Linked DNA regions of Arabidopsis thaliana. The protein of the gene in region 1 interacts with the protein of each later gene in a pairwise test. Each region holds a gene or a part of one and is shown in the gene's direction. Other genes may lie near its edges.

Region 1 (5,532 bases):
TTTATGTAATTAGTATTTTACTAATTTTAATCGATTTCCTCTTCTTCTTTTTTTTCTTTATCTTTGCTAGTACAAAAATCAAGTTGTTTGTCAAAAAAGTGGATTTATAATTTAGTGTACCTTCTCAACAACTCAATTTATTGTGAATCGTCCAAATGATCTAGTGTTTCCAGAACTCGATACTTCTTCGCATTTTTATTAATAGTTCTATGTTTTCTCTTGTCTTTGAAGAATTTGTGAATACTTGGTTCTTTTGGCTACAATTTTAAGCTCTCGTAAGAATGTTATAACAAATGAAAACGAATATGACATGTAATATAGTGGTTTGTATTAGTGTTATTGATGTGCTACCGTCCTACTTCAAATTCGTATAATATATCACCGTTAAACGCAGAAAAACAAAAGAAGATTCCAAACAAGATAATGCACCAGAGATAGTCGGGCTATGATCCAAGGGAAAGGGATCACACCTCCCCTGCGATTTCCACTGTATATAAACTAAGTTGTTTTGTTGAGGCCAACTAAAACTCTTGTACCTTTTTGACCTAAATGATTATTTTGTGGTAAGTTTACAGAAAACTAATTTCAAAGAGCATGACAACCCTCAAACATTATAGTTTTTGGTATCGAGTTTGAGAAATCGACCAGATACTCTCGAATATAGTAGTAAGCTTTGGTATCGAGTATAAGAAATCGACCAGATACTCTCGAAATTAGTATGCTTTGGTATCAGGTTTAAGAAATCGACCAGATACACGATGTTGATCTAAGAAAGTATGCGATAAACAAAAACATGTTGAAAGAGAGGGTCACTACATTTATTTACATGCTTCCAAAATTTATGCAATCAAAAAATATGGCCCTCTAATGTTTTCGCACTTAACTATGCCTAAGGAAAAACAAGAACAAACAGATACCGTGGCAAATTCTTATCCGTTGGACTAAGAATCATAGATCTCGTCGTTGGATATCGTCGGATTTGATAATAACGTCACACGTACACGAACACTTATATATTCATTCGCACGTGAAAAGACGAGCGGCGCAATTTTAAAATTTAACCTAAAAAGGGCAAAAGGAGAAGAAGCAGAGACGAAACATCATAACACAACCACTTCCCACGTAAGGGCGCCACGCGGCGCCTCGTAGCCGAGTGTTCATGAATAAAGCTTTTTCTTTTTCAAACCAGACAGCATCAACAAAATTATCCCTGTATTTAATGTATATGTTTTTCCCTAATATAATACATTATTTAATCAGCAACAAAAGAACACTTTTACTATTGCTAACATGGAAATTTGTCGTGAAGAAAAAAAACAAAACAAAAGAAGGAAATTTGTCTTAAAACACAAAAGCAATTTTGTGTGTGTGTGTGTGTGTGTGTGTGAGATAAAGAGACATTGTTTTAGGGTTAATGGTCCATTAAGCACATGCAACTACCAAATTACGCAATTATTGGTGATAGACATATATAGTCTAAGCTTCAATTAATTAATGGTCCATCCATCTAGCGCAAGTTGAAAGCATAGGCTCCTTGTACCAATCTTTGAATACAGTTAATTTCTTTTGCTGTCGTGGTTTGAAAAAGAAAATGTCGATACATAACAGGCTTACAGAAAAAACCAAAAATGTTTAGTAGACGAGACCACAACACGAGTTACACGAGTTGCCAGTAATTCCCACTTCTCAGTGTAGGGAATACAGAAACGAAAAGATTATAAATTAAAATAGAATTAACAAAAAAAAAAAAAATCCACTTCCGTTGTTGTCCGGTAAATATATAAAGGTTATTTTAAAATTGTTCTCTAAATAAAAATCGTTCTCCAACAAAAATCTTTTTTTTTTTTTTTTGTTGGAGCAAAGCACCTAAAGAAATGTAGGGTAAATTTCTTTTAATAGAGGGAAAAAATACAATGTTGAAAGAAAAAGAAAAGTATAAAACGTAATCGTAAATGGGCCCCATGGCCCAAATCAAACTTGCCTCAGTCATAACCTTCTCACGTTGGTTCCTGATTCCCTAGTCCCTATATAAGCAAGTGCCAATAGCCTTCATCAATCTCACGCCTTCTCTTCTTCTTCTTCTTCATTTCCGTCTTTTCCGCTAGGTTTCCGTCTCTGTTTTTTCTTGCATTTTCCCCAGAATTCCTTCACATTCTCTCCTTTTCCTCTTTTTAATTCCTCACCACCTCAAATTCTTCATAAACAAATCCACTTCTGCATGGTTGGGAGAATCTGTTAGAGAATTTTTGTTGTTGTTGGGTTCAGATTTGGAAAATTTCCTTTTTTTCGAGTTTCTTCTGAATTATTCATCGTGGAGATTCTCGGATCGGGAAGGGCTGCGAGAGGTGGTTTTCACGGCGGGGATAGATTCATCTTCTGTCTTCTCCTGAGGGGGTAGCCGAGGCTCCGGCCTCGGCGGTTTTTAAACCCCTACCTTTACAAATTCTGGGAAATTAGAAAAAAAAAGGTTTGATTTTTCAGTTTTTGCTCTGTTCTTCTCTCGAAAGTTTTTGTTTTGTTCGAGAATTTCTGTAAAGTGAGATTGTTGATCGTTTGCTGATAAGAGGGTGAAGATAAAGATGCCTGCTTTAGCTTGCGTTGATACGTCCTTTGTACCTCCTGCCTACGCCTTCTCCGACACCGCCGGTGATGTTTTTATCCCGGCGTCATCACCAACTTCCGCCGCCGTTGTTGTTGACCGTTGGTCTCCGTCGCTCTCATCGTCTCTCTATCGAATCGATGGATGGGGAGCCCCTTATTTCATAGCCAATTCGTCTGGTAACATCTCTGTTCGTCCTCATGGCTCTGAAACTTTGCCTCACCAAGACATCGATTTGCTCAAAATCGTTAAGAAGGTGACGGGTCCGAAATCTTCCGGTGGTTTAGGATTGCAGCTTCCGTTGATCGTTCGTTTCCCTGATGTGTTGAAGAACCGTCTCGAGTGTCTTCAATCTGCGTTTGATTACGCGATTAAAAGTCAAGGATATGATTCTCATTACCAAGGTGTTTATCCGGTGAAATGTAACCAAGATCGATTCGTTGTTGAAGATATTGTCAAGTTTGGATCTTCGTTTCGATTTGGATTAGAAGCTGGTTCTAAACCTGAGATCCTTCTTGCTATGAGCTGCTTGTGTAAAGGTAGCCCTGATGCCTTTCTTGTGTGCAATGGATTCAAAGATGCTGAGTATATATCATTGGCTCTGCTTGGGAGAAAACTGGCGTTGAATACTGTGATTGTGCTTGAGCAAGAAGAAGAGCTTGATCTGGTTATTGAGCTGAGCCAGAAGATGAATGTGAGGCCTGTCATTGGGTTAAGGGCTAAGCTGAGGACTAAGCATTCGGGTCATTTCGGATCAACTTCTGGTGAAAAGGGTAAATTTGGATTGACTACTACTCAGATTGTTCGTGTGGTGAGGAAGCTGCGTCAATCTGGTATGCTTGATTGTCTCCAGCTTCTGCATTTTCATATTGGTTCACAGATTCCGTCGACTTCGTTGCTCTCTGATGGTGTCGCCGAGGCTGCTCAGCTTTACTGTGAACTTGTGCGTCTTGGTGCACATATGAAAGTTATTGATATCGGTGGTGGTTTGGGGATTGACTACGACGGGTCTAAATCTGGAGAATCGGATCTCTCTGTTGCTTATAGTCTCGAGGAGTATGCTGAAGCTGTTGTAGCTTCTGTTCGGGTTGTGTGTGACCGGAGCTCAGTGAAACATCCGGTGATATGCAGCGAAAGCGGTAGAGCGATAGTCTCTCATCATTCTGTGCTGATCTTTGAAGCTGTTTCAGCAGATAAACCAATGGTTCATCAAGCAACTCCCGGCGATATTCAGTTCCTGCTTGAAGGTAATGAGGAAGCTCGAGCCAATTATGAGGATCTTTATGCTGCTGTGATGCGTGGAGACCACGAAAGCTGCCTTCTTTATGTCGATCAGCTGAAGCAGAGGTGTGTTGAAGGTTTCAAAGAAGGTGTTTTGAGCATCGAGCAGTTAGCTTCTGTTGATGGTTTATGCGAGTGGGTGTTGAAGGCTATAGGCGCATCGGATCCGGTTCATACTTACAATATCAATCTATCAGTTTTCACTTCGATTCCTGATCTCTGGGGGATTGATCAGCTGTTCCCTATAGTTCCTATCCATAAGCTCGATCAAAGGCCCGGGGCTCGCGGAATCCTTTCAGATTTAACGTGTGATAGTGACGGGAAGATCAACAAGTTCATAGGCGGTGAATCCAGCTTGCCGTTGCACGAGCTGGACAAGAATGGCAGTGGAGGAAGGTACTTTTTGGGTATGTTCCTTGGAGGGGCTTACGAGGAGGCTCTCGGTGGAGTCCACAATCTGTTTGGTGGACCAAGCGTTGTCCGGGTCTCCCAGAGCGATGGACCACACAGCTTTGCAGTGACCCGAGCGGTGCCTGGTCAGTCCTCAGCGGATGTTCTCCGAGCAATGCAGCATGAGCCGGAGCTAATGTTTCAGACCCTAAAGCACCGAGCAGAGGAAATGATGCATACCAAAGGTGGTAGCGAAGGTGAAAATGAAGAGGAAGAAGAAGATGATGAGTTCAACAATGTGGCGGCTTCTCTCGACCGTTCGTTCCACAACATGCCGTATCTTGCAACTGAGCAGGCATCGCCAAGTAACTCTCTTTCAGCTGCGATCAGTAACCTTGGGTTTTACTACTGCGACGAAGACGTCTACGATTACATCTCTGCGTGAGAAAAGGTGGTCGTCGTGTGGTTTGTTGTTGCATTATATTATCGTAAAATCGTCATTGTACGATTTCTTTAAATAAAAGTTATTAAATAAGAACATGATGAGATCCATGATCCATCGTTGTTTAAGGTTTTAAGTAAGAAGATCCGAATTATGAAAGCCTTTTGTGAAATTCGGATCTTTTTATATTTATTTCCCCCTTCAAATGTAGCCGTTCCCGTTTTATTTATAATAATAATAATAAAAAAGTTTGACCACATAAAAGAAATAAATAAACGATGAATCGTGAATAAGTTGTTTTCAGTTTTCACTCTATAATAATTTTAAATAAAAAATATAAAAAATTGTCTAGTGGTATTTTTAACGGATCAGGTTCGCCGCATCTTATAACCGGCGTCGTGGGCCGATGTTGTTATGATGAGTGAAGAAGTGAATGTGACAACACACACAAGTATCACATGGAGATGTTAGATTCTGACATTTATGTGTTTTATCGACTGACATCTTTTATCTGTTAGGCTTTGGGAAGCGGTTAAATGATTATTTGATAATGTGGCTCATGATTGAGTGTTTTTAGCCGTATCTTGCATTATCGAATAGTGGTCTTTATTTTTAAGTCACGGCTTGGTGTGCAACAGGTTTCGTTTTACGTGGAGGTAATTTTTTGACATTATGCATATTCGAGATAACGTGTTGTTGTTTCCATTATACTTGTCCGGTTGTTGGCGATCGTGGAAAAAAAAGCATATAATACTGTAGAGAAAAAGGAAGGATTCAAATTTAAAGGTGAAAAGTTTGACGAATATGGTAATACTAAGCT
Region 2 (4,583 bases), on another chromosome or scaffold:
CTGCAAATATTGGCAGTGAATATAACAATCAAACAATAACTGTAGGTATGGGATTCAAGATCGATGAGATAGTACAGGCATGGAATGAGATGTATGATGCCAAAAGATGGCAGATTGGTGTCCCATCTTTCCGGCTAGAACCTTTGTTCCGAAGACGGTCACCGAAACTTCATGATATTTTGGAGAATGTGTTTTCAGGGCCTCAGTGACGAAACAGTCATCATATCAGCCGGCATCAGTTTTCAGTTTTTATAAAGGTTTGTCTGAAAATTCGGAGTTTTTCAGGTTGGTGTTTGATGAAAAACTAATCTCTTGATCTGTTCCAGCAATTGTTATTACAGGTATAGTATTCACTATTCATTGGGAGTTATACGCAAGTTTTCTTCGATTTTTGGTTTGGTTCTCAGCTTATGGAAGCATTGAAGCAATATTTTTTTTAATCTCTTGGCGGGTATTGCTGTGAAGAAGATGAGCGTGATGTTATTTTTTTTGTGCAGATGGGTTCAACATATTTGTTAATTCATTATTTCATTTTTGGTGGGTTTGTAATTATATCATAGTTTTGTATTTTTTTTTTTTTTTTTGGACAAAAGTTTTTTAACTTTTTTATTCATCGATTTTTTGGATTAGTCTTTGTATCTATGGATTGGATTGGTTATTAATTAATAAGATGGTGAATGTTTTTGGCTTGTGGCACTCAGAACTGTTAACCATCCTACAATTAGAAACGACGTGCTGTTTCTATTCTTGAAGTAGAATGGCAAGTTGTTAACAGGCATGGTAGATTGGTAGTGTAGGGTGAGCTACGATAGACTCGATGACGTTGATTCCAAAGAATAGCCGTTCGTTCTTGAAAATCGTTGATTCACGAAGAATAACCGATAACAAGGAAGATACGAGGATAGAAAACGATGCTCAAAAGAAGAACTCAAAGCTCTATATTAATTCAATAATCAAAAGCTGTCCTACAATAGAGCATAGCGGCTAACTTAAATAGAAGACACAAAACATAAAATCCTAGCCTAACGTCAGTGCCAAAGCTCAATAAACAATAGAAAATCAACATGAAAATAAAGCCCAAAACCATAATAAAGTAACCAAGGATCTACACTACACCACATGGGCATATTTAACCAGCATAGAACCGAACAGAACCAAAATTTGGGATTTGGTTCGGTTTCGGGTATTTATTTCATAAGAACTGAATGGTTCCAATTTGTAGAACCTAATGGTTTTTGATTTGGTTCGTGTAAAACCCACAGTTCTTTAGTTCGGTTCAGATTCTAGTGGTTTGATCATATTATTATGGTTTTGTATGGGTATTTTGGTTAAATCGGGTAGTTTGGTTACTCTTGGTTACACAACAACCAATCGAAACCGAAACCTTTTCGAGTCTTATTTGCTTCAAATTTGAATAATCCATATGGAACCGAATATTAATCGGTTCCAAATAGATTTACCAAATTTACATACCAGAATTACCTGAAAACCGAAAGAACCGATCCAAACGAAAAACCGAAGCCCAGGTACTTGTTGTCATGCGTATCTGTAAAGAGTGTAGTAAGGAAAAACAGCACGAATGTTTATAGGAAAAAATAAACACGGCACACAGTTTTGCACTGAGTTTCTTCCCCGAGTTGGCGAAGAAACCCAGAGAAGTAACACAACACAGAAGTAGAATCTTCTTTAGTCATCTCCCGCAAGTTTAGGAAAGCTCTGAAATTAGGGTTTTTCGTCTGCGATCACGATCCTTCAATTACTTTGCGATAATGGAGAAGATAAGACAACCAACACATGCAGGCTCTTGGTATACCGATAATCGTGAGTTCTGATTTTTACTTGCATGCTCAATCATCTTAATTTGGGCTGAAGATTAGGTTTTAGGTTTCATAATACTGATTTCATATTCTTATTCCTTTTGTTCTTCATTTGTTGATCATTGATTTTAGTTTAACTGCTTAAAGGTTAAAGTTTTGATATTGTGATTACTTAAATTCGTTTTGCTAAATTGGGTTTAATTTGATCTGATGTTTAGTATCTGGATTTAGGGTTTGATAACTCTAGAAAATTTCAGTGACTTTGTTTTTAGAAACAAATACATTTAGCAGTGAGGTTTGACTTTTTTTTGGTTTTTAGAATCTCAAGCCTGTTTTATGTTTCTTTGTCAGCTACAAAATTGTCATCTGATCTTGAAGAATGGCTTAATGCAACTGGTTTGACCAAATCTCCTGATGTACGAGGCGTCATTGCACCGTAAGCTGTTCTTGCTTATCTCATTTCCTCGGAGAAGTGATTACACTTGCACTAACTTTTTGAAGGAATCCAGACACGCAGGTTATTCGTACTCCGGTCGTGCAGCTGCTTATGCTTTTGCAAACATAGATCCTACTAACATGTAAGTAAGCTCGCCTATATTTTGGAAGAGTGTCATGAGTAGACCATTACTATTTCTGACTAGTCTCATTTCAGTTCACGGATATTTCTTCTTGGTCCATCTCACCACTTTTATACTCCAAAATGTGCCCTTTCGACTGCAACAGTTTATAAAACCCCCATTGGAAATCTACCTGTTGATGTGGAGAGTAAGTTTGTCTAGCTTAGCTTAACTTATCAAAGAAAGATTTTCTTTCAGTTGGTGAGGAAAGATGTTCTCTTCTGGTTTTCATATGAATTCACCAGTGATTAAGGAGATACGAGCTATGGGAAAATTTGGAATGATGGATCTACGGGTCGATGAGGCTGAGCACAGCATGGAAATGCACTTACCGTATTTGGCCAAAGTATTTGAAGGGTAATCACAGGGGTAGTAGTGATGTTAAGGTTCTGAATAACTATGAATGACATGGCGGAATTTGCTGAGACTGGCTCCATTTTAATATTTTGATCAGGAACAATGTGAAAGTTGTACCCATCTTGGTTGGAGCAGTAAGTCCAGAGAATGAAGCCATGTACGGTGAATTGCTTGCTAAATATGTGGACGATCCCAAGAACTTTTTCTCAGTGTCCTCTGACTTTTGCCACTGGGGCTCAAGGTTTGTCTTAGCTCTTCATCTCCTTTCTCTCATTGAAGTACCACATTCTGATGTAACGTTACTTTTGATGGACATTGCTTGAGAAATGATATCTTTTTCTCTTTATCTCTTTCTAAAATTCGCCTTAACTGCATAACCAGATTTTCTGAGGCCCTTCCAGTGAGCTAATTGCGCTCTGTTATGTTTATATTCATATGTTTTTGGTTATAGGTTTAATTACATGCATTATGACAACACTCATGGTGCTATACACAAATCGATTGAGGCTCTAGACAAGAAGGGAATGGATATAATAGAGACAGGAGATCCTGATGCCTTTAAGAAGTATCTTCTGGAATTTGAAAACACGATTTGTGGGCGCCACCCGATCAGTATTTTTCTCCATGTAAGTAGTGCTAGACTGTTTCTTTGCATTGGTCAATAACTTCATGAAAAAATAGCCTTAAGCTTGCTGCCTTCTTATTTAGTATCTAGATACTTTTCTTTTAGATGCAACCAATATAATGGTGAATCTGGTACTCACCGAGGCTACTTTGCATGTATCTGGTTTGTAGATATTCCTCACAACTTACTACTTCTGTTTTATGTTTGTGATTGCTTTCAGATGCTAAAACATTCATCAAGCAAGATTAAGATCAATTTCCTGCGGTACGAGCAGTCAAGCCAATGCCAGACAATGCGAGACAGCAGTGTCAGCTATGCATCTGCTGCAGCCAAGTTGGAAACATGAACTAAAGATAGTCAAAAACTTGGTGTGCAAAATTTCCCATTTGGTTTCAAGGTCTTTCAGGGTCGAAAAGTATAATCTTAATGCATATATCTATGCGAAGAACCTTAGAAAACCAAAGGTTTCGTGTTTACATTTCACTGTAATAACAAGTACAAGACTCTCCTTCATTGACTGGTATCTAAATTTTCATTTTTCTCAGTGGACTATGTTCAGACATGAAAGCACAAATCAAGTATCTTGAGACTTGAAACATTTTGCTTAAGATCTACAGAGACATACATCAAAAGTTAACTCTTACAATCTCCTTACTTTCAGAAAATTCAGGCAGAGCTTCCTTCCGATGCCTTCGCTCTCTACTGTAAATGATCCAGAACATAAGTGAGAGCATCACAGCCGTTGCTAAAATGGCCAGACCCACATAGACCCAATAGCCATAACGCTGTAGTCCAGGACAATGGTCATTCGTTATGTCTCTAAAGGTCTGTTTTGCGTATGAACAGTCCTGAAGCTGGACCAGGAATGGCGCGTCTCTGATCAATCCCGTGCTGATATTAACACCTGATGCCATCTGACTGTACAGCGCAGGTGTAAGCCTTCCTGTTGTGGTGCAAGTCCCGTTCTGGCTCACTTGGCACACGAAACTGGTCCATGCCTGAGAGTGTTTTGACATCACTAAGATTTCTTTGTACAAGTGCAATTTTATGCCTACTAGAGACAGTTTCAACAGTAAAGAAATTGGTCAGAGGGGGACTTACTTCAGTAGCATTGTTCAAATCGAGATCACCAGGCGAGCAAGAGCGATCGGTAAGGTCATGGTTAAA

What was found. The genes of interacting proteins can lie anywhere in the genome.
Region 2: the proteins of ADC2 (region 1) and AT2G25280 interact in a two-hybrid assay, tested with the Arabidopsis thaliana proteins (one large-scale study listed by BioGRID).

The regions. Positions count from the first base shown.
Region 1 is NC_003075.7:16,559,498-16,565,029, reverse strand, and holds ADC2 (arginine decarboxylase 2), read left to right. Parts: upstream 1-1,985; 5' UTR 1,986-2,579; coding exon 2,580-4,715; 3' UTR 4,716-5,000; downstream 5,001-5,532. UniProt on the Arabidopsis thaliana protein: Required for the biosynthesis of putrescine. Catalyzes the first step of polyamine (PA) biosynthesis to produce putrescine from arginine. Is a major contributor to basal arginine decarboxylase (ADC) activity and putrescine biosynthesis.
Region 2 is NC_003071.7:10,761,818-10,766,400, reverse strand, and holds AT2G25280 (AmmeMemoRadiSam system protein B), read left to right. Parts: upstream 1-1,590; 5' UTR 1,591-1,769; coding exon 1,770-1,821; intron 1,822-2,168; coding exon 2,169-2,253; intron 2,254-2,326; coding exon 2,327-2,395; intron 2,396-2,469; coding exon 2,470-2,582; intron 2,583-2,679; coding exon 2,680-2,791; intron 2,792-2,888; coding exon 2,889-3,032; intron 3,033-3,136; exon of another isoform or gene 3,137-3,155; intron 3,156-3,242; coding exon 3,243-3,417; intron 3,418-3,473; exon of another isoform or gene 3,474-3,636; coding exon 3,637-3,762; 3' UTR 3,763-4,042; downstream 4,043-4,583. Other genes in the region: Phox1 (Octicosapeptide/Phox/Bem1p (PB1) domain-containing protein / tetratricopeptide repeat (TPR)-containing protein), read left to right, coding at 46-209; AT2G25270 (uncharacterized protein), read right to left, coding at 4,043-4,414, 4,518-4,583.